Arabidopsis thaliana: one gene and its partners. The protein of the gene in region 1 interacts with the protein of each later gene in a pairwise test. Each region holds a gene or a part of one and is shown on either strand. Other genes may lie near its edges. The genes, in order: AT4G19380, AT3G21340 and CNGC5.

Region 1 (6,536 bases):
AGAAAATAGATGATGGCGTATACTTTTGATACAAGTACACAACACAAACTTAAAATTTTGGATATGTGACTATGTGAGGTAACTTCTCATAGAAATCTTCTTTGTCAACTAAATAATATGGAAATAAAAGAGAGGAGAATATTATCATACATTAAAATAAAATTTTTTTCCAAAACGATTAAAAGGAAATAGATGATTTGTGTTTACTAAAGACGAGGTCAAACGTAGATTGTTTGACTTACATACAAAGTGGCCTTAATAAAAAGAACAAAAGCATGATAATGGCATGGACTATAGAAGTTGAGTATAGATTAAGCCTTCCCAAGTTAAAGGCTTGAAACTTTTTGTATACATAATTTTTTGTTTGTTTTGTTTTAGAATTAAAATCTGAAATTTTAATATGATTTTTTATTTCATATCATATATTGCCTACTAGCTTAAGAAATATTATCCATTTTGCTCATCTTTATTTCTTATTTATCAAGCTGCTACTGCCTACCAGTGTTTACTAGTTATAGTTTACGAATAATTAAAAGAAAAGGAAATTTATTGCTAACTGATACTTTGACAAAGAACTTCTTAATATTAGTTTTATCAATTGTATAAAAAAAACATTTCATTTTAAAAAATATGTGGAAAACTAAAATCTATTTCAAACTGATGAACCCTCACTTCTTCTTCTTAAGAACATCAACAACATTAAGTCCAATACAATAAGCAATAGACTGAACGGTGACCATCGGATTAACCCCTAAAGCGGTCGGAAAAACACTTGTGTCCGCCACAAATAACCTTTCGACCTCCCAAGTCTCTCCTGTTGGCCTCACCGCGGATTCCTCCGGCCTAATTCCCATCCTACAACTTCCCATTTGGTGAGCTGAACATATCTGACCTGACAAATCCTTCAACGGCTTTGAACTCTCTTCTCTCACAAACCGCTCAATCTCTAACGAACTCGCTGTTCTAACATTCAGACTCCTACCTTCTGAATGATGCGTCCCAATCTCCTCGGCTCCGGCTGCGGCCAGAATCTTCAAGACTCTTTCAAGACCGTTCTTTAGACTCTCTTCGTCTTCATCGTTTAAGTTGTAGTCAATGTAGGTCTTGGAATCTATTGTTCCGGTTCCTTTATCTCTCAGAAGCGCAAAAATGTGTGCGGTTCTTGAAAATTTGAGCATTCGGGTTTTGAAATCCTTGCTTGATGTCCAGGGAATGATCCCTGAGAACATTCCTGGATGTAGAGCAGGTGTCTGGATAACCATTTCACCATAAGAACTATGCGTTTCTTCAATTACAACGCTAGACATCGCAGTCATTATTCCCCCCTCGTAGCTCTTTTTCTTCTTTTCCGGCCACTTATCTTCCTCTGGAAACCATCCCCAAGCCATAACAACCGGATGTAGACAAAGGTTTCTCCCAATGTTACTATTCTTCAAACCGCTACGTTTCAACAGATGCGGCGTTCTAAGCGCACCGCAAGCCACTATTGTCACTCTAGACTCCACCACATAAATCTCTTCCCCAAACGCAAACGCAACTCCAGTTGCCTTCTTCTTCTTCCCCTGTTCACAGTCGTACATGACTTCCGTCGCTTGACAACCTGGAAGGATTAAACCATTATCAGATTCCACCAAATCTACAAGCCAAGTCTCTGAAGTCCCCTGCTTTTGACCTTTCTTGCAACCCAAGCAACAAAACCCACAGTAATGATCGGATGGAGCATTCCTCGGAATATTCTTCACTGGTAACCCTAACTTTTCACAACCTTTTCTCAATACCTCATTATTAAACCCTTCTTCTACAAATCCGCATTGAACACCCATCCTCTTACAGACAACATCCATTGCCTCTCGATACAAATCACTTCCGAACATTTCGAGTTTTGACTTTTCTGCCCATTCCTTCATCACATGTTCTGGTGTCTTGATCGAGGCGGACCAATTGATTGTAGAACCACCTCCGACTGTGGATCCCGCAAGAATCACTACGTTCGTATCGGACGTCGCTAATAACCCACCGGATAAATACATGTCATCCATAGCTTGCCCTTCAAGTAAAGAAAGTTTGCTTCTTGCATAGTAATTCCCTGACTCAATCACCAACACTTTGTAACCAGCCTTGGCTAACACTCCTGCCGCCACTCCTCCACCGGATCCAGACCCAACCACCACAGCATCACACTGGATTTTCATCACCGGGTCAGAGATAGATGATCCGTTTGTATTCCTCTTTTGATTTGAAACTGCGAACCCACGACCGGCTAGCTTCTTTTCCACGGCTTCTCTAGGGCTTTTTAGATCAACGATGCCATTGTAAAGTGGTCCAAAGATCTCCTCAGGTTTCTTCTTCTTCTTCTCCTCGTTTAGTTCTACTTCATGATCACTATGATCAGGGCTGGGTCCATTGTAACCTATTGCTTTCCACGCCAAGTTCCTTCCTTTTTCATCAACCTGAATTTTTAAAAATCAATAGGAATAATTAAAAAAAAATTAGTAGTTAGTTATATGGTATATCAAGTTGACAAGTTTCATGTTCCCTCCGGGATTCATTGGGTAACGAGTTTCGTTGAAGAGGAACTTTCAACAGGTCCACCACAAGTAAATCATTGGGCCATATAGACCCCATTACCATATATGGTCTAAGAATATATTTTTCATTTGGACTCAAATTTCAAGAATCAGTAAATATATCCAAGTCATTACCAACTCACTCATGTCCTTTATTTTATAATTTACTCATACCAGTTAAAGTGACTAAAATGTAAATCTTAAATAAATTGATAAGTTTAATTAGTAGACTAAGGTTTAACTTATATTGCAAACAAATGTGTGAAAATCATAAAACATAAAGCTTAAAAGAAACATAATGAGTACACATCTATCAAAAGTGATAAGAAATTGAAATAAGTGACAAAGATTTCGAGTTTAGTTTACCTGAGTGAAGAAGACAAGGGCACTTATAAGTTTGATGGTCCTAAATAACATTCTAAGAAGTGAGAAATAGCTTGAAGACCAATTCAGCAATATCTCTTCTCTCCGTTTCTCCGGAAGCCGGCAGAATCTCCGGAAGTAAGGAAACTCGCCGGTGAAACTTCTCCAACCACACAAGACTAGACTTCCGATCCAAGTAGAGAGTAACCACAATCCAGCTCTTAGTATCCACTTCTTTGGGTGGTGAAGTCTCTCACTCATTAACCTCGCCACCTGTTATTACGAATTTATGATACAATAACAAACGGTCAGGGTTAACGGTTAAGTAAATGTAATGAAATTTGTATTCAAAAAAAAAATGTTCGTTCTATTTAACTTTAACCTATACAAATTTTCATAGCTGGTATATCTAGCATAACGGTTTTTGGTTCATGAGTCAATTATATTTGGATTTCCAACCAGACCATATGCGGCCAAACCACGATTATGGTTAAGCAGTCGCTTCTTCGTTATTCCTATAATTGACTAATATCTAATCGTTCTTTGAAAATTTTAATAGTGCATATCAACTAATTTACACATACACGATGTAGTGAACACGATATGTAAGGTTCAATCTATTTTTACCTTCTTTTTGCCAATGAGTTATGACAAGAAAAAAAGAACAATTGAATCGGTCGTCGGAGTGATATATTAATACCAAATTTATAATAATAGTTATATGGAACGAATAAATAGTAGCCAAAAGAGAAGGAATTAACAAATTTATTTTTAGCAATTAACTTGAGATGGCATCAATGGCATGCGTGACGATGGAATGTAGGTGTACTTGAAATCTGTCGGCTCTATATTTCACTGAAAGTACTGGTTTTTTGTTGTCATCTATAGTACCGTTTCTCTTTTTAGATATGGAAAGTACTGATTCACATGCATGCAATGCAGATTTTTAAATGCATATGTAAATATCTTTTTGCTAAATAAGTTATAGACAGTTTAACCCGTAAAAACTGTTGTTTAAACGTTGTATAAGTCGGATATGAATCACCTTTGAGTAAGAAAGAAATGTTTTACGTTTACTAATTTCTTTTCTAAAACGATCTGAATCAAGAAAGATTACAAATAAAAAACCGTGATTTTAAAATTATGTCCATAAATCATTCTTATTTTATTTCTTGTAAAAATAAAGAAAAAATCAACTGTAATAATATCTCAGCAAACGTATGCATATGGATCCAAATTAATAATTTAAATCATCCTAAACGATTTAAATTATGCTCTATTCTCTTTTGTTTGTAAAAAGGGTTAGCTAGAAATAATAAAAAATGCATGTATATAACAAATAGGTTTTGTTTTGATAAAGCATGTAACATATAAAAATCGGGAAGCATATCTACTTATATATGTTATATGTGCATGCATGTATGTAAATCTCTTTTATATGTGAATGCATGTTTGTATATATAACACTTACGCGGTCGGGAGTTCCGGTCTGAGAAGCGGAGGCGGAGAAATATCCAGCGACGCAATCATCCACGTGTCCTACTCCAGAGTCGTCGATGGAGGATATGAAGGTATCGCAGATCGCAACAAGAGATTCCATCTCACGTGGCGTCAGTGAGTTTGCATAAAACGGCTTCGTTTCATCTCTCTGCCGGAGGTTTCCAGTTTCGACGTCTAATTTGGCCGCCGACGTCGTATCTTTCTGAAGGCAGCTGTGATTCTCCATGTATTCAATACTTTAAGTTGTGGCTAGTAAAGTTTATGACGTGTTGTATTTATATAGAGACCAAAGGATTAAATACAAATATAATATATATATATATCTATCTGTTTGGTACCAGCAAGGAAAAGTTTGATACTAGCAAGTACACTGATCCGAATTAGGTTTTCGAAATTTCATTATAAGCTTGTGATCTTTTTTTTATAGAAAACATGGACACCATTCTTAAAAAACGCTAGACAAATTTGTTTACTTAAGTCAAACTTTCTGAAATGTAAGTTTTAAATTGCATATTCTGAATCAGATATAGATATGAAATATATATTAACTCTTACAAATATTTGTTTACGAATTCGTATATATTCGTATGTATCCTAAATCCAATAAAACAAAAATATCAGAGGATGGGTAATCGACAGTTTAGGGGTAGTCTATAACAATGGGTATTAGCCTATTAGGTGGAGCCTAATATTTCAGAAAATTTATTTCCTATAATTCATATAGATATATCATACATATGTGTGAATATAATTTACTTTGACTTTTTCAGAATTTTTTTATAAAAGTATTAAATTCTTTACACACACCCACTTTATTCGTAATTTTAGTTCCAACTACGTAAAGATTTGTGTTGCAAGTGATGACGAAGTGATCGTGACATGATTTATATCAATAAGTTACATATATGGTTTGGGAAAACATTTGAGCAATCATACGGAATTACCAAGTAATGTACATTGGTTGAAATATCAAAGGGGTATATAAACTTTTGGTCTTTGCAACAAATCTGTTAAATTAGATAACGCAAGTTAAATTTATTTATATATTTGATATTAGTTATTACTTCGTCTATCTATAATAGACTAGCGATTTATGAACCAAAACGTTGTTTTTATAGTATTCAAGTTTAAATGATCTATTCATTAATATTATGGTTTAGAGATTCAACTCATTTTAAGTAAAATACCGTTCTAGTTTTGTTACTAAAGTAATTTACGCATTTTTGTTCTAATATTTTTATGATAAAAGCTGATTTTCATACTAAATTTTTAAATAACTATTGAATAAGTTGCAAAATTTCGAACTTCGTTGAAAGAGAGGCTGATTCAGACATGTGTGGATGTCTACAGATATGGGAACTCAAAATATAAAGGAATGATTTTATCATAACTTCGAATGATTAGTAGAACACAAATCAGGTAATAATGTAAGAAAAAATGACAATGTTCATTAATATGATAGAATCAAATAAAGTACAGAGAGGTCATGAAAGGACCCAACGAGTGAGTGATCAGGGTATCAAACTGGACCCTTTGAGAGAGAAAAAAAAAGAAAAGCGAATTGAATGTAGAAGACAGTACAGTTAACAATACCTGTCCTCCATAATTATCATTCATTAAGTTTCTGAGATTCTCCTCCAGATTTTGAGTTTTATCTTCCCCCTTTTTTATGTAAATTATAGGTGCATTGATATCATCGATTGTCCAATGCAAGTTGATAATGTGGTAGATGTAATTTAATAAAAATTTATGATCTCCTATTTTTTGAACGTGCTTAATGTTGTTATTTTTTTCAGAAGTGTGTATATTTATTGCGTATAGATTGAAATTCTTTGAGTTTGTTTGGGAATGATTACTAGTTATACTCATCTTGATCGGTTCAGACTTCTTATATATATGTAGTTTGGGGAAAGATATACCCCATGAGTGCGATGGTTGTCGAAAACTTTGAATTCTGATATTCATAATTTCATATCTAATCAGAAATGTATTATTAAGTTTTCTTTTTCAATAGTATTAGTATTATATAATAACCACTTCAATTCTTATGAGTGTTTATTAAAGATGCTTACAAATTTAATGTGGTGTCGCCGGTGGAGATATGAA
Region 2 (6,793 bases), on another chromosome or scaffold:
AGCCATCGATCTTTTGGAAGAGAACGAAACCTTACCTTGTCTAATGGTCTCCAATTTCGATGCAGCATCAGTGAAAGCCTTGGATATATTATAAATAGTCCGACTCTGATTCAAACATACAAAATGAGAAAGAGAAGAAAACAAAACGTTTCAGAAACTAAAACAGACAACTATCATCAGCAACACACAAATCAAAAGAGGAAGAAACTTACAACTCGAGCTGCGAAGACACTACAAAGCTGAGGAGCTTGGTAAATAGAACCATCCAAGATATAATATGTTAGCATCGGTGTGACTTTCTCAGGACCATCTCTCTTTTGCTTACGAAAGACGAACAGGTTTGGTTCAGTAGCATCAGTTAACATATATTCTAGACCTGTCATCTTCCTACATAATATAATCACAATGGTTTCAATCAAACATTGTCACTAAATTCTCCACCTAAATCTATCTCCATTTCTCTAACAGTATCCCAGGTGAGACCAAACCCTAATTCGACCTAAAGTTGAAACCTTTATGAGTTTCAACATAACCCTATCTGTAGAGCAGTGAGGAGGAGCTTACGAGAGGTGAGAGAGATCGAGAGGGTGAATGGATCTTCTCCGAAGAATCTCATTGTTGCAAGTTGTATCGTAGAAAGGAGACAAAGCGAAGTAATCGAAGATGTAGTTACGATCAAGAGGGTATGAATTGATCCAGAGCTGATCCCTGAAGGAAATTCCAGTCATATCCGTTCCCGGAGGCTGTAACGGAGGAGGAATTTGATCCGCCGCATTGCCGTTGAAGGTATCGGCCGTAGCCGCCGAGAGCAGAGAGGAATCCATGGAAGTGAGTCACTTCGCCGTGAAGGAGAAGAGCACAGAGAAAGAAAGAGAGCGAGAGAGAGAATAATATGGTTCGGCCCATTATGTAATTTGGGCTTTCGAATTTCATTGGCCCAAAATTGAAGGAATTAGACAAATGTGTTATCAACTGATTCTGACAACATTTTTTTTTTTGTTACAAACTTATAATAACTATAGAACCTTTTTTTTTAATAACTAGTAATTGAACTTTGTCCGATGATAACTTAATTAATAAGAAGAAAACATAACAAAGGCAGATAAATCTTTTTTATAGAAATGAAATAAAAACACAGGGTTTTGTCCAAAAAACCACAAGGGTCAAAAGTCAACGACCATTTAAATCATAAGAAGGTTTTGTTGTGTGTTCCATGCACGTATCCTCCCTGGACCAGCTTCCAGCTAGCGAAGCCAATTGCTACGTTTACTTCTTTTTTTTATCAAAGTTTGTTGTGATTGTTGGGCCTTTGGAACCATTTTGATCCTCACAATCTTTGCTTCTTTTTAAACAATGTAAAATTAGTCTTCCACGTTGTAGCTTACCTATTTGGCTATTCATTTGCCATTGAATTGGATTTTTTTTTTTTTTGTTTCTTACCATGGAATATGGATGGCAGTTTCTGGAAATTGGAATTCAAATTAAAACTAAAGTGTGTCGAACCAAACCAAACCAAGATATTGTTCAATATGGATTCTATGTATATAAACTAAAAGAAAAGAAAAAAAAATCAAAAACCTAACAAACGCGCCTAACCAAAACTGAATTGAATACAAAAAGCAAAAACCAAGTTATATTATTTACTTCAATTTGATTTATTTAGTCGAAAATAAGATATATTAGTGCATTATGCATACGTACGAATACAACGTTAAAAAACAGGACATTGACATCAACTAAACGGCATTGGAAGATTATTGGATCGTTAATTTTTAAATCTTTATAGAATGTTAATCAAATCAAACATATTAGTTTAGTTTTATTTAGGTTCGAGACAACCGACTCTTGTATACATATTTTTTTTCATAAGTTGACCTACAAAAATAACGTCGTGCTTATTAGTTTTCAATAATTTCCATTATTGCCTAGATATCTCAAACCTCTGCTTTTTCTTTTTGTAAATGTCTCTCTCTTTTGTTTCATAGAAGAATAATGGAGTACCATCCTCAAGCAATTAGGTTATGTGCGTTGATCTTCATCTCTTTCTATGCTCTTTTACACCTCGTTGAAGCACAAGACCAAAAAGGTATATACATATACACATTTCTTTGTTGTTTTTGATAATGTTTCGTCGAAATTATGTTCTTACTTAGTTTTCTGATACATTTTGTTCGCTTGTGTTACTAGGATTCATTAGTTTGGATTGCGGGTCATTGCCAAATGAGCCTCCTTACAACGATCCTTCAACCGGATTAACATACTCGACGGACGATGGTTTCGTGCAGAGTGGCAAAACTGGAAGAATCCAGAAAGCGTTCGAGTCGATCTTCAGTAAACCGTCTTTGAAGCTTAGATACTTCCCGGACGGATTCCGAAACTGCTATACCTTGAATGTCACGCAAGACACAAACTATCTGATCAAAGCTGTATTTGTGTATGGTAACTACGATGGTCTTAACAATCCCCCGAGTTTCGATCTTTACCTTGGTCCGAATCTATGGGTAACGGTTGATATGAATGGACGGACCAATGGTACTATCCAGGAGATTATCCACAAGACCATATCTAAGTCTCTCCAGGTCTGTCTTGTTAAGACAGGAACAAGCTCACCTATGATTAATACGTTAGAGCTACGACCACTTAAAAACAATACTTACAATACTCAGAGTGGCTCTCTGAAGTATTTCTTCCGATATTATTTCAGCGGTTCAGGCCAAAACATACGGTATGAATCACGCCCTTTCACTTAATCATGAACAAAATTTGGTTTCTGGTTCTGTTTGATCCGTTTAGGATAAACTTTTTAACGAAGATTATTTGTTTTAAACCTTTAATAAATTTAGTGTATATATTGAAGTTTAAAGATTATAATTACTTATTAGGTTTTTGGTTGCACAAAACTCGGATTGGGTTCATTTGGTATAGACATTTTTCTAGCATCTTGGTTTATTAATATGGATTTTGATTTGTTTCAGTAAGTTTGTTTTTAAGTAAAATGTTAGTCTTTAATACATGACAAAAATATTTTTGATAGGTACCCTGATGATGTCAATGATCGTAAATGGTATCCATTCTTTGATGCAAAAGAGTGGACAGAGTTAACAACCAATCTGAATATAAACAGTTCTAATGGTTATGCACCACCAGAAGTTGTGATGGCGTCAGCCTCAACGCCTATAAGTACTTTTGGAACATGGAACTTCTCATGGTTATTGCCATCTTCCACAACCCAATTTTATGTGTACATGCATTTTGCCGAGATTCAAACTCTACGGTCCCTCGATACCCGAGAATTCAAAGTGACGTTGAATGGAAAACTTGCTTATGAACGCTACAGCCCTAAAACGTTAGCCACCGAAACCATTTTCTATTCGACACCACAACAATGTGAAGATGGGACATGCCTCTTGGAGTTGACGAAAACACCTAAGTCTACTCTTCCTCCTCTCATGAACGCTCTTGAGGTTTTCACCGTGATCGATTTTCCACAGATGGAAACAAATCCAGATGATGGTAAGTCTATATGTTTCAATCAATTTCCTCTATAAATATAATTTCATGGGTTGTTTTTTGATGCAACAATAACTTTATTCTAGTTGCTGCTATCAAGAGTATCCAAAGCACTTATGGATTAAGTAAAATCAGCTGGCAAGGAGATCCATGCGTTCCTAAACAGTTTTTGTGGGAGGGTTTAAACTGCAATAATCTAGATAACTCCACGCCGCCTATTGTCACTTCCTTGTAAGATCAATCTTAAATTATTGTATTAGTTATGTCACATGATTTTATCATCTGTAAATGAAATGTGTGCATGCATAAATATGTCTTTAGAAACTTATCGTCAAGTCATTTAACGGGGATCATCGCGCAAGGCATTCAGAATCTGACACACCTACAAGAACTGTAAGTATTTCGTATTTCAAAACTGAGCATAATGAAAACTATTTGTTCACCTTAATTGTATCTTGTTTATAACATATTTTTGTACTTACAAATGCTTATGTAGAGACTTGTCAAATAACAATTTGACGGGAGGAATACCCGAATTTCTTGCTGACATAAAATCACTCTTAGTAATGTGAGTCGTTTTAAACAAGACAATTTTTTATAATCTATTAGCCTCTTCGCACTACAAGATTGCCTATGTTTCTAACATTGTGTCTATCTTAACAGAAATTTAAGTGGGAACAATTTTAATGGCTCTATTCCTCAAATCCTTTTACAGAAGAAAGGACTAAAGCTAATGTAAGCTTTTCTCATATAATATTTTCATGACTATATAAAATTTGTGCTCAAGTCTCCTAAATGACTGGTAAATTTCTTTTTTTCCTCAACATTGGTAACTCATAGTCTTGAAGGAAACGCCAATCTGATTTGTCCGGATGGATTATGTGTAAACAAAGCTGGCAATGGTGGTGCCAAGAAAATGAATGTTGTAATACCGATTGTTGCATCAGTTGCGTTTGTGGTTGTTCTTGGATCTGCATTGGCGTTCTTTTTTATTTTCAAAAAGAAAAAGACATCAAACAGTCAAGGTATACACAAAAAGAACCTTTAAATTGCCTTGAATACTGCAATACATATGTTCACTATGTATAAAAAGTCTCATTATACTGTTGCATTGTAACATTAGATTTAGGTCCATCTTCATATACTCAAGTATCAGAAGTTAGAACAATCAGATCTTCAGAGTCGGCAATAATGACTAAGAACAGAAGATTTACATATTCGGAGGTTGTAACAATGACAAATAACTTTGAAAGAGTTCTTGGTAAAGGAGGATTTGGAATGGTTTATCATGGAACTGTAAATAATACTGAACAAGTAGCCGTTAAAATGCTTTCACACTCATCTTCTCAAGGATATAAAGAATTCAAAGCAGAGGTAAGTTTTAGCAAGGTTATTAAGAAACGTTTGTAGAAACACTATCGTTTTATTAGAGTAACATGTCAAATTTTGATGTATTGCTCTTCCACTCCTCTAGGTGGAACTTCTTCTCAGAGTTCACCACAAAAATTTGGTTGGCCTCGTTGGATATTGTGATGAAGGAGAAAACTTGGCTCTTATCTACGAGTACATGGCTAACGGAGACTTGAGAGAACATATGTCAGGTAAGTATTTATAGTTGCTACAAATACATATTTGTTGTGGTGTTTTCACATATTTATATGTTGATTCAAATGTAGGAAAGCGAGGTGGATCTATTCTAAATTGGGAAACTAGACTAAAAATAGTTGTCGAGTCTGCCCAAGGTTTGATATGAGTTTTAATATAATTTTTGCTTGTATCCTCTATTCATTTGCTTAACCCTTGATGAAAATGAAATTTGTTGCATAGGTTTGGAATACTTGCATAATGGATGCAAACCACCAATGGTTCATAGGGATGTTAAAACCACAAATATATTGTTGAATGAACACCTCCATGCTAAGCTAGCTGATTTTGGGCTTTCGAGATCTTTTCCAATTGAAGGAGAAACTCATGTGTCAACAGTTGTTGCTGGAACTCCTGGATACCTTGATCCAGAGTAAGTTTCATAATTGTTGGGCAATGATTTTCTTTTAAATTTTATTTTAAGGGTAATTGCTAGTTTTCATCTATCATGAGTATCATCACTTGATAGGATATCATATATATTTTTTATTTTTAATAGGATAAATATTGATTTTGCAGATATTACCGAACAAATTGGTTGAACGAGAAAAGTGATGTTTATAGCTTTGGAATTGTACTATTAGAGATCATCACAAACCAACTTGTGATCAATCAAAGTCGTGAAAAACCACATATAGCAGAATGGGTGGGGTTAATGCTTACAAAAGGAGACATTCAAAACATTATGGATCCAAAACTTTATGGTGATTATGACTCTGGTTCTGTCTGGAGAGCAGTTGAACTAGCAATGTCATGTCTAAATCCTTCTTCAGCTAGAAGACCAACAATGTCTCAAGTTGTTATCGAATTAAACGAATGTTTGTCATATGAAAACGCAAGAGGAGGAACGAGTCAAAACATGAACTCAGAGAGTTCAATAGAAGTCAGCATGAACTTTGATATTGGAGCTACCCCTGATGCTCGTTAGACTGCAAGAGTCATTTTATCTTTGTTTTCTTGAGTGGATTTTTGTTATTTTCAAAGGAAAATTTTAAAAGTTTTGTAATGAATTTATGTCATTAATGAATGTGATTTATTGGAATCAAGATTAGCAGCATAGACTCGATCTACGGTTAAAAAAAGAGGATAAAGTCCAATCATAACTCTCTTTAATTTATTTTGCAGAATGAAAACGTAGTAGAAATGGATGTAATCTTAGTGGAATAAACAAAGCAAATGATGAGACATGTTTATACGTTTCTTGTGATCAAAGTTTCGAAGCTCTAGATATATAGCAATAGGCCCGGGATGACTCAAATATGATCGAGGGGAAGAAGCGCGCACCTGCCAATTGCTCGCTACGACCATCTTCTATCTCAGTTCACGTCATTGTTTGATATAAAAGTGACTTGTTCTGTACGTTAAATCATATTTGACTCATCCTGGGCCTATTGCTCTGTATGGTTTTTCTAACTGACTCAGTTATTTATTTGTAATATGATAGTTCCAAAATAAGACATTACAAATGATTTATACACGTACATTTTATACAACAACTTCCATTTTTAGTTTATTTTAACTATATATCATATTTGTCCACCAAAATTTACGATGTAGTCAAAGTTGATATCTAGTAGCATTCTAATTTAGTGCATAATAAATTTAACGTAAAGATTATCAGTGTATTGTTGTATGTGGA
Region 3 (6,665 bases), on another chromosome or scaffold:
ATTATTTGAACTTATTAGCTTTAAGCTTGTCCACGATTTACATTAGCTATCTTCTTCGTCTCCGGGACTGAGACCGCTCTCTCTTCCTTATCCTCCATCTTCCAATGGTTTAATCCAGCAACTGTCGACGATGTCGATAACGTACTCCGCTATTTCCTGTAAGTTTCTTCCTCACTGTGTGTCGAATCCGTCCTCAATGCTCAATTTTATCCATTTATTGTGAGACTGTGATTGATTTTGGTTTCCGTTGTTTTATCCAGCTAGTACAGTTTCTGGGTTTTCACCAAAAAGTGTACCTTTTGCTATTCATAGCGTAACCAGGAGGCAATTTCTTAATCCCAACACGTTTTATAGATTTGGGTTCTCTCCTTCTCTTCAGGTCAGATTCCTTTACTAGTCAGTATCATCCAATTCTCCAGACTCTGCTTCGTTGTTGTTTTGGTTCTTAGAATTAGACCACACTTCGTTGCTTCCCTTTGAAGTAGAGAGTCAATGTTTACTGTTATGTGCGGATATGTTGTGCAGGGAAGTAGCATTGAGTTTAGCCTTCAGTTGAATTCAAGAGTTGTGCTTAGTAAAGAGCGTCGATCTCTGCCATTAGTTGTGAGAAATGATCGTCCTCAGAATGAAGACTTACCTAAGCAGTACACAAGGCGAGAGAAGAAACCTTTCCCAGTCCCTATTGTGGACCTGAGACGAGCTGCGAGGGAGAGAGTCAAGAACAACAAAGACAAACCTAAGAGACCTCTACCTCCGCCTAAAAATGGTATGGTTGTGAAGAGCCTTGTGCCTCTTGCTTATAAAGTATACAATGCAAGAATCAGATTGATCAACAATCTCCACCGGCTTATGAAAGTTGTTCGTGTTAATGCTTGTGGGTAAAAATTCTCTTCTTCTTCTTGTTTCATTTTTGGTCTGTTTTGAGTATGGCCTTTTTTTGATGTTGTATGATTGGTCTCTTAGGTGGTGCAATGAGATTCATGTTGGACCTTATGGGCATCCATTTAAGTCGTGTAAAGGTCCCAATACTTCCCAAAGGAAAGGTCTTCATGAATGGACTAACTCGGTTATTGAGGACGTTATTGTTCCTCTTGAAGCCTATCACCTTTTTGACCGCCTTGGCAAGCGTATCCGTCATGATGAAAGATTCTCGATTCCCCGAGTTCCTGCTGTAGTTGAGCTCTGCATTCAGGGCGGCGTTGAAATACCCGAATTTCCAGCAAAAAGGAGAAGAAAACCGATTATCCGCATTGGCAAAAGCGAGTTTGTTGATGCAGATGAAACTGAATTGCCTGATCCAGAGCCTCAGCCTCCTCCAGTGCCATTGTTAACTGAGTTACCTGTCTCAGAGATCACTCCCCCATCTAGCGAAGAAGAAACAGTCTCCTTAGCCGAAGAAACATTACAGGCCTGGGAAGAAATGAGAGCAGGAGCCAAAAAGCTGATGAGGATGTACAGGGTTAGGGTCTGTGGGTACTGTCCAGAGGTTCACGTAGGTCCAACGGGACACAAGGCCCAGAACTGTGGTGCATTCAAGCACCAACAGCGGAATGGCCAGCATGGTTGGCAATCTGCAGTACTTGACGACTTGATACCGCCAAGATATGTTTGGCATGTTCCTGATGTGAATGGGCCACCGATGCAGCGAGAGCTACGAAGCTTCTACGGGCAAGCACCTGCTGTTGTGGAGATATGTGCTCAGGCTGGCGCTGTTGTACCTGAGCATTATAGAGCTACAATGAGACTGGAGGTTGGAATTCCTTCGAGTGTGAAAGAAGCTGAGATGGTTGTTTGATATGTAGAAGACCTTGTAAACTTCTTCTTGTACAAAATCCTCCATTCCACCTTGTGTTGTATAATAATATCACAGCCCAGGTCTTTTTGACTTTTGAAGGACAAAAAAAACAATCCACGCTAATCCTATTATCAAGGGTAAAAATGTCATTTGCTTCGTTTTCATCTTTTCTCGTTGCCATTTTCTTTTTTTTGTCTGTGTCAAGTCGATACCACTTGTCTGGTAGCTTTATACCCACTTTCATCTTTTTCATGTTCGTAGTTGTTCCTCTGGTTATCCTCATCAACGGGACCCTTGAAACCGTGTAGCCATGTAAGCCTTTGTCTTTGTCTCTTTCTCTTGCTTCAGCAAGTTCACGTCTGCTCTATTTCTAATTTTGTTCTAAGATTCAATTCTCCTTTTTTCTATGCGAGAAATTTAAGATTGGTTCTCTAGCTCTACCTCTTTAAATTTGTTACTATGTGTCGGTGTCCATCATTCATCAAATTTTTTCCTTTTTTATCCATTTGAGTTGATGTAATGATGTTGCTTCGCTTCATACTGGTCAGAGTTAGTCTAATCTTCATTTTAGCACAACTTGACAACTTCATATGGTTATGACTTATTTTTACTTGGGTCTTTCAAAGGTTAAGTATTTTAGTCTTATTTTGGGATGATGCAGCTTGCTTAATGATTAGAGTCTTAAAGCTGTGCTCTTTCTTCATCGATTTGAGCAAGTGATCTTGGAAGGCTCTTGAGTTCTGAATTCCTTGTAAGCAATCATGGCAGGGAAAAGAGAAAACTTTGTGAGGTTAGTGCTGCATCCTTTTGTTTTAATACAAAGATCTGAAGTTTGAATGTGAGAAACGTATTGATTTGGCAATGGTTGTTTCTGATTTGTTTCCTTATGAAAGTATAGTGTGATTGTACTGAACTATAGCTTGTTGGTGCATAGTAATCTGAAAGTGGTGTTGTTCATACCTTTTATAGGGTGGATGATTTGGACTCTAGGTTACCATCATCATCTGTAGCCTTCCAACAGAACTACGCCTCCAATTTCAGTGGACAACTTCATCCTATTCATGCAAGCAATGAAACTTCTAGATCCTTCAAGAAAGGTATCCAGAAGGGTTCCAAAGGGCTTAAGTCGATCGGACGTTCACTTGGTTTCGGTGTTTATCGAGCAGTGTTCCCAGAAGACCTTAAAGTATCTGAAAAGAAGATATTTGATCCTCAGGATAAATTCCTTTTGTATTGCAATAAATTATTCGTTGCGTCATGTATTCTTTCAGTGTTTGTGGACCCTTTTTTCTTCTATCTTCCTGTGATTAATGCTGAGTCCAAGTGCCTGGGTATTGACAGAAAACTGGCTATCACAGCAAGTACATTGCGGACTTTTATCGATGTGTTTTATCTCGCTCACATGGCTCTCCAGCTTAGGACTGCTTATATTGCACCTTCATCACGGGTCTTTGGGCGAGGTGAACTCGTGATTGATCCTGCACAGATAGCAAAGAGATATCTACAACGTTGGTTTATTATTGACTTTCTCTCAGTACTTCCTCTCCCTCAGGTTGGTTAATATAAGTTTTGATCATTTCAGTAAATTGTGTGTTGGAAAACATCATTGCTTAATTTGTTGAAAGGGTGCAGTAGCCAGTAGTTGGTGATCAGACATCTCTGTCAAGCGCTTTCTAGTTCTAGATTTACAGTACTCATTTTGTGTATGTGCAGATTGTAGTTTGGAGGTTCTTGCAAAGTTCAAATGGGTCGGATGTATTGGCTACAAAGCAGGCCTTGCTTTTCATTGTTTTGGTCCAGTATATACCGCGATTCCTACGTGTCTTACCCTTGACGTCAGAATTGAAAAGGACAGCAGGTGTCTTTGCTGAAACGGCTTGGGCTGGTGCCGCTTATTATCTGCTTTTATATATGCTTGCAAGTCATGTGAGTTTATATACCTTTTTCATTTTAAGACGTTGCTTGTACTATTCAATGCTTGCCCATTCACCATGAGTTATGTGACTGTGGCACCAAAAGTGCAAAACAAGGAAATATTTGCATATCCGTTTCACTGTTATGAACTTATGTTCAAATGTTTAGTTTCCTAAGACATGTAAAGGAGCTTATTGAGCTTTCTGGTTAAGCCGTCTATGCTTACCTTTGATGTTCTATGCAACCTTTCGTTTTATCTTAGTTGATGTTCATGCCTCATGGGATCACAAATGTCAAGTTTCTTATGACGAGCAACTCTGATTGTATAGCTTATTTACTCTTCAATAATAGTATTGACTTGGTAAGTGCTATTTTGATTGAGCCACTGTTTCGTATCTTGCAGATAGTTGGAGCTTTTTGGTACCTTTTAGCCTTAGAACGTAACGACGCCTGCTGGCAGGAGGCCTGTATAGATGCAGGGAATTGCAGCACAGATTTCTTGTACTGTGGCAATCAAAACATGGACGGCTATGCTGTTTGGAACAGAGCCAAGGAATCTGTTCTTAAGTCCAAGTGCCGAGCTGACCTCGATGATAATAATCCTCCATTTGACTTTGGGATTTATACACAGGCTTTATCGTCTGGAATTGTCTCGTCCCAAAACTTCATCGTAAAATATTGTTATTGTTTGTGGTGGGGCCTTCAGAACTTGAGGTAACCATGTTCTATCACTATTCAGTCGAAAGACTATTGCTTTGATCTTACCAATTCTCACTAAACTCGGCTCCTTTATCAAAGTTATGCGTCTATGAGTTTCAGATATTCATATAGTACTTCTCATTGTTGCACCACAGTACACTTGGACAAGGGCTTGAAACCAGTACATACCCAATGGAGATTATATTTTCCATATCTCTCGCCATTTCTGGGTTGATCCTCTTTGCTCTTCTCATTGGAAACATGCAGGTGAGTAATTATGGTGCAACCTTAGCTACTTTCGTGATCATTAGAAATTTCTTGTAAGCTCTTTCAATGGAAGCATCATGCATAATTTGTTTCCTCTGCATAATGACTATCTAACAACATTTTGCAATCTTGGGACAGACATATCTCCAATCTCTTACCATCCGGCTTGAAGAAATGAGAGTAAAGAGGCGTGATTCAGAACAATGGATGCATCACAGAATGTTACCACAAGATCTTAGGGAGCGTGTGAGGCGCTATGACCAGTATAAATGGTTGGAGACACGTGGTGTAGATGAAGAGTATCTCGTTCAGAATCTTCCCAAGGATCTCCGGAGAGACATCAAGCGGCATCTCTGTCTGGCTTTAGTGCGAAGGGTAAGTTCTCCCCGCTGTTCCTTATTCAAGCTTCTCACATAGATCACACACCCTTTTGAACATCTAGGACCCATTGAATAACAGTCGGCTCATAACTAAAACGAGCTCTTGACCATCGACAAGCTAGCTTGGTTCATGATACGTTTTTACCATAATATTAGGTTCCATTGTTTAAGAGCATGGACGACAAGCTGCTGGATGCGATCTGTATGCGGCTGAAACCATGCTTGTTCACAGAGAGTACCTACTTAGTGCGGGAAGGAGATCCTGTAGACGAGATGCTATTCATAATACGTGGTCGCCTCGAGAGTGTGACAACAGATGGAGGCAGGAGCGGTTTCTTCAACCGCAGTCTCCTGAAAGAAGGAGAATTCTGCGGGGAAGAGCTTCTGACATGGGCATTGGATCCAAAATCAGGTGTAAATCTCCCGTCTTCCACGAGGACCGTGAAAGCTCTGACAGAAGTAGAGGCGTTTGCGCTGACCTCAGAGGAGCTGAAGTTTGTAGCAAGCCAGTTCCGGCGCTTACATAGCAGGCAAGTGCAGCACACATTCAGGTTTTACTCTCACCAATGGAGGACTTGGGCTGCTTGTTTCATCCAGGCTGCCTGGCGTAGATACTGCAAGAGGAAGAAAATGGAAGAGGCAGAAGCCGAGGCCGCGGCTGTGTCCAGCTCAACCGCTGGACCTTCATACTCCATTGGGGCTGCATTTCTTGCCACTAAGTTTGCGGCTAATGCGCTTCGCACCATTCACAGGAACCGGAACACAAAGATTAGGGATTTGGTGAAGCTGCAGAAGCCTCCTGAGCCTGATTTCACTGCTGACTGATGATTGAGCAGCTTGTAGACATTATTGTTTATAATTTATGGGAATCATTACGGTTGAGATAAACAAATATTGCTTGGCTTTAAAGCTGCTTGTGCTGTCTGTAAAATTAATATATGAAGTGTAGAAACAAAGAGATTATAGCCGTTGGATTTAATAAATGTACGGTTAGGATCATATGCCGGTTAAAGAATGGGTCTATTGGGCCTTTTAATGAAGCCCACAATATATTCACGGTGACATGCTCCGGTCCCAAGGTAGAGAGAAGTTGCGATTGATTTCGGTGAAAGAATTAAGAATCGATCGGACTTGGAGAAGAGAAGAGAAGATGGTTGGCGCGAATCTGAAAGCGGAGACGATGGCTCTAATGGACAAGAGAACAGCCATGGAGACGGAGATGAACTCTATTGTCGAACGTCTCTGCAATCCCGGTGGTCCTGGTCTCTCCGGCAATCTCATCGACTCGGAGGTACTGTATCTGCGTCCTCACTCTTCTCTAATCTTAACCGAAAATTCTGCTTAATTTTCTCCTTTGATTCGTTTGCTTATGGCAGGGATTTCCTCGGGAAGATATTGACATTCCCATGGTGAGAACTGAGCGCCGTCGTCTTGCTGGTGATTTCTCTTTTCTTGTGCTGAATTAGTCCATAGTTAGGGTGAGACTACAACTCCAAGGTTAGTTTAAACTTAGGAAACATAGCAGAATCATACTGATTATATGTAGTTTAGGTTTTTGTCTTGGCTAGTTGGCTTGAGGTTTATTCATAGTTTTGTGAGCTGGAAATGAG

What was found.
Region 2: the proteins of AT4G19380 (region 1) and AT3G21340 interact in a protein complementation assay, tested with the Arabidopsis thaliana proteins (one large-scale study listed by BioGRID).
Region 3: the proteins of AT4G19380 (region 1) and CNGC5 interact in a protein complementation assay, tested with the Arabidopsis thaliana proteins (one large-scale study listed by BioGRID).

Annotation. Positions count from the first base shown.
Region 1 is NC_003075.7:10,567,759-10,574,294, forward strand, and holds AT4G19380 (Long-chain fatty alcohol dehydrogenase family protein), read right to left. Parts: upstream 4,759-6,536; 5' UTR 4,657-4,758; coding exon 4,402-4,656; intron 3,204-4,401; coding exon 2,934-3,203; intron 2,451-2,933; coding exon 669-2,450; 3' UTR 565-668; downstream 1-564. UniProt on the Arabidopsis thaliana protein: Long-chain fatty alcohol oxidase involved in the omega-oxidation pathway of lipid degradation.
Region 2 is NC_003074.8:7,511,137-7,517,929, reverse strand, and holds AT3G21340 (Leucine-rich repeat protein kinase family protein), read left to right. Parts: upstream 1-1,856; 5' UTR 1,857-1,992; coding exon 1,993-2,086; intron 2,087-2,187; coding exon 2,188-2,725; intron 2,726-3,034; coding exon 3,035-3,513; intron 3,514-3,596; coding exon 3,597-3,741; intron 3,742-3,831; coding exon 3,832-3,903; intron 3,904-4,006; coding exon 4,007-4,078; intron 4,079-4,173; coding exon 4,174-4,245; intron 4,246-4,350; coding exon 4,351-4,535; intron 4,536-4,633; coding exon 4,634-4,884; intron 4,885-4,984; coding exon 4,985-5,111; intron 5,112-5,186; coding exon 5,187-5,252; coding exon of another isoform or gene 5,253-5,263; exon of another isoform or gene 5,264-5,337; coding exon 5,338-5,527; intron 5,528-5,673; coding exon 5,674-6,082; 3' UTR 6,083-6,174; downstream 6,175-6,793. Other genes in the region: MED6 (RNA polymerase transcriptional regulation mediator-like protein), read right to left, coding at 36-105, 213-387, 565-824. UniProt on the Arabidopsis thaliana protein: Probable receptor with a dual specificity kinase activity acting on both serine/threonine- and tyrosine-containing substrates.
Region 3 is NC_003076.8:23,454,560-23,461,224, forward strand, and holds CNGC5 (cyclic nucleotide gated channel 5), read left to right. Parts: upstream 1-2,005; 5' UTR 2,006-2,107; exon of another isoform or gene 2,108-2,338; intron 2,339-2,456; 5' UTR 2,457-2,556; coding exon 2,557-2,585; intron 2,586-2,764; coding exon 2,765-3,347; intron 3,348-3,508; coding exon 3,509-3,721; intron 3,722-4,112; coding exon 4,113-4,423; intron 4,424-4,563; coding exon 4,564-4,675; intron 4,676-4,813; coding exon 4,814-5,050; intron 5,051-5,211; coding exon 5,212-5,880; 3' UTR 5,881-6,062; downstream 6,063-6,665. Other genes in the region: APO2 (APO RNA-binding protein (DUF794)), read left to right, coding at 131-158, 261-379, 526-878, 964-1,795; AT5G57950 (26S proteasome regulatory subunit), read left to right, coding at 6,119-6,346, 6,432-6,492. UniProt on the Arabidopsis thaliana protein: Probable cyclic nucleotide-gated ion channel.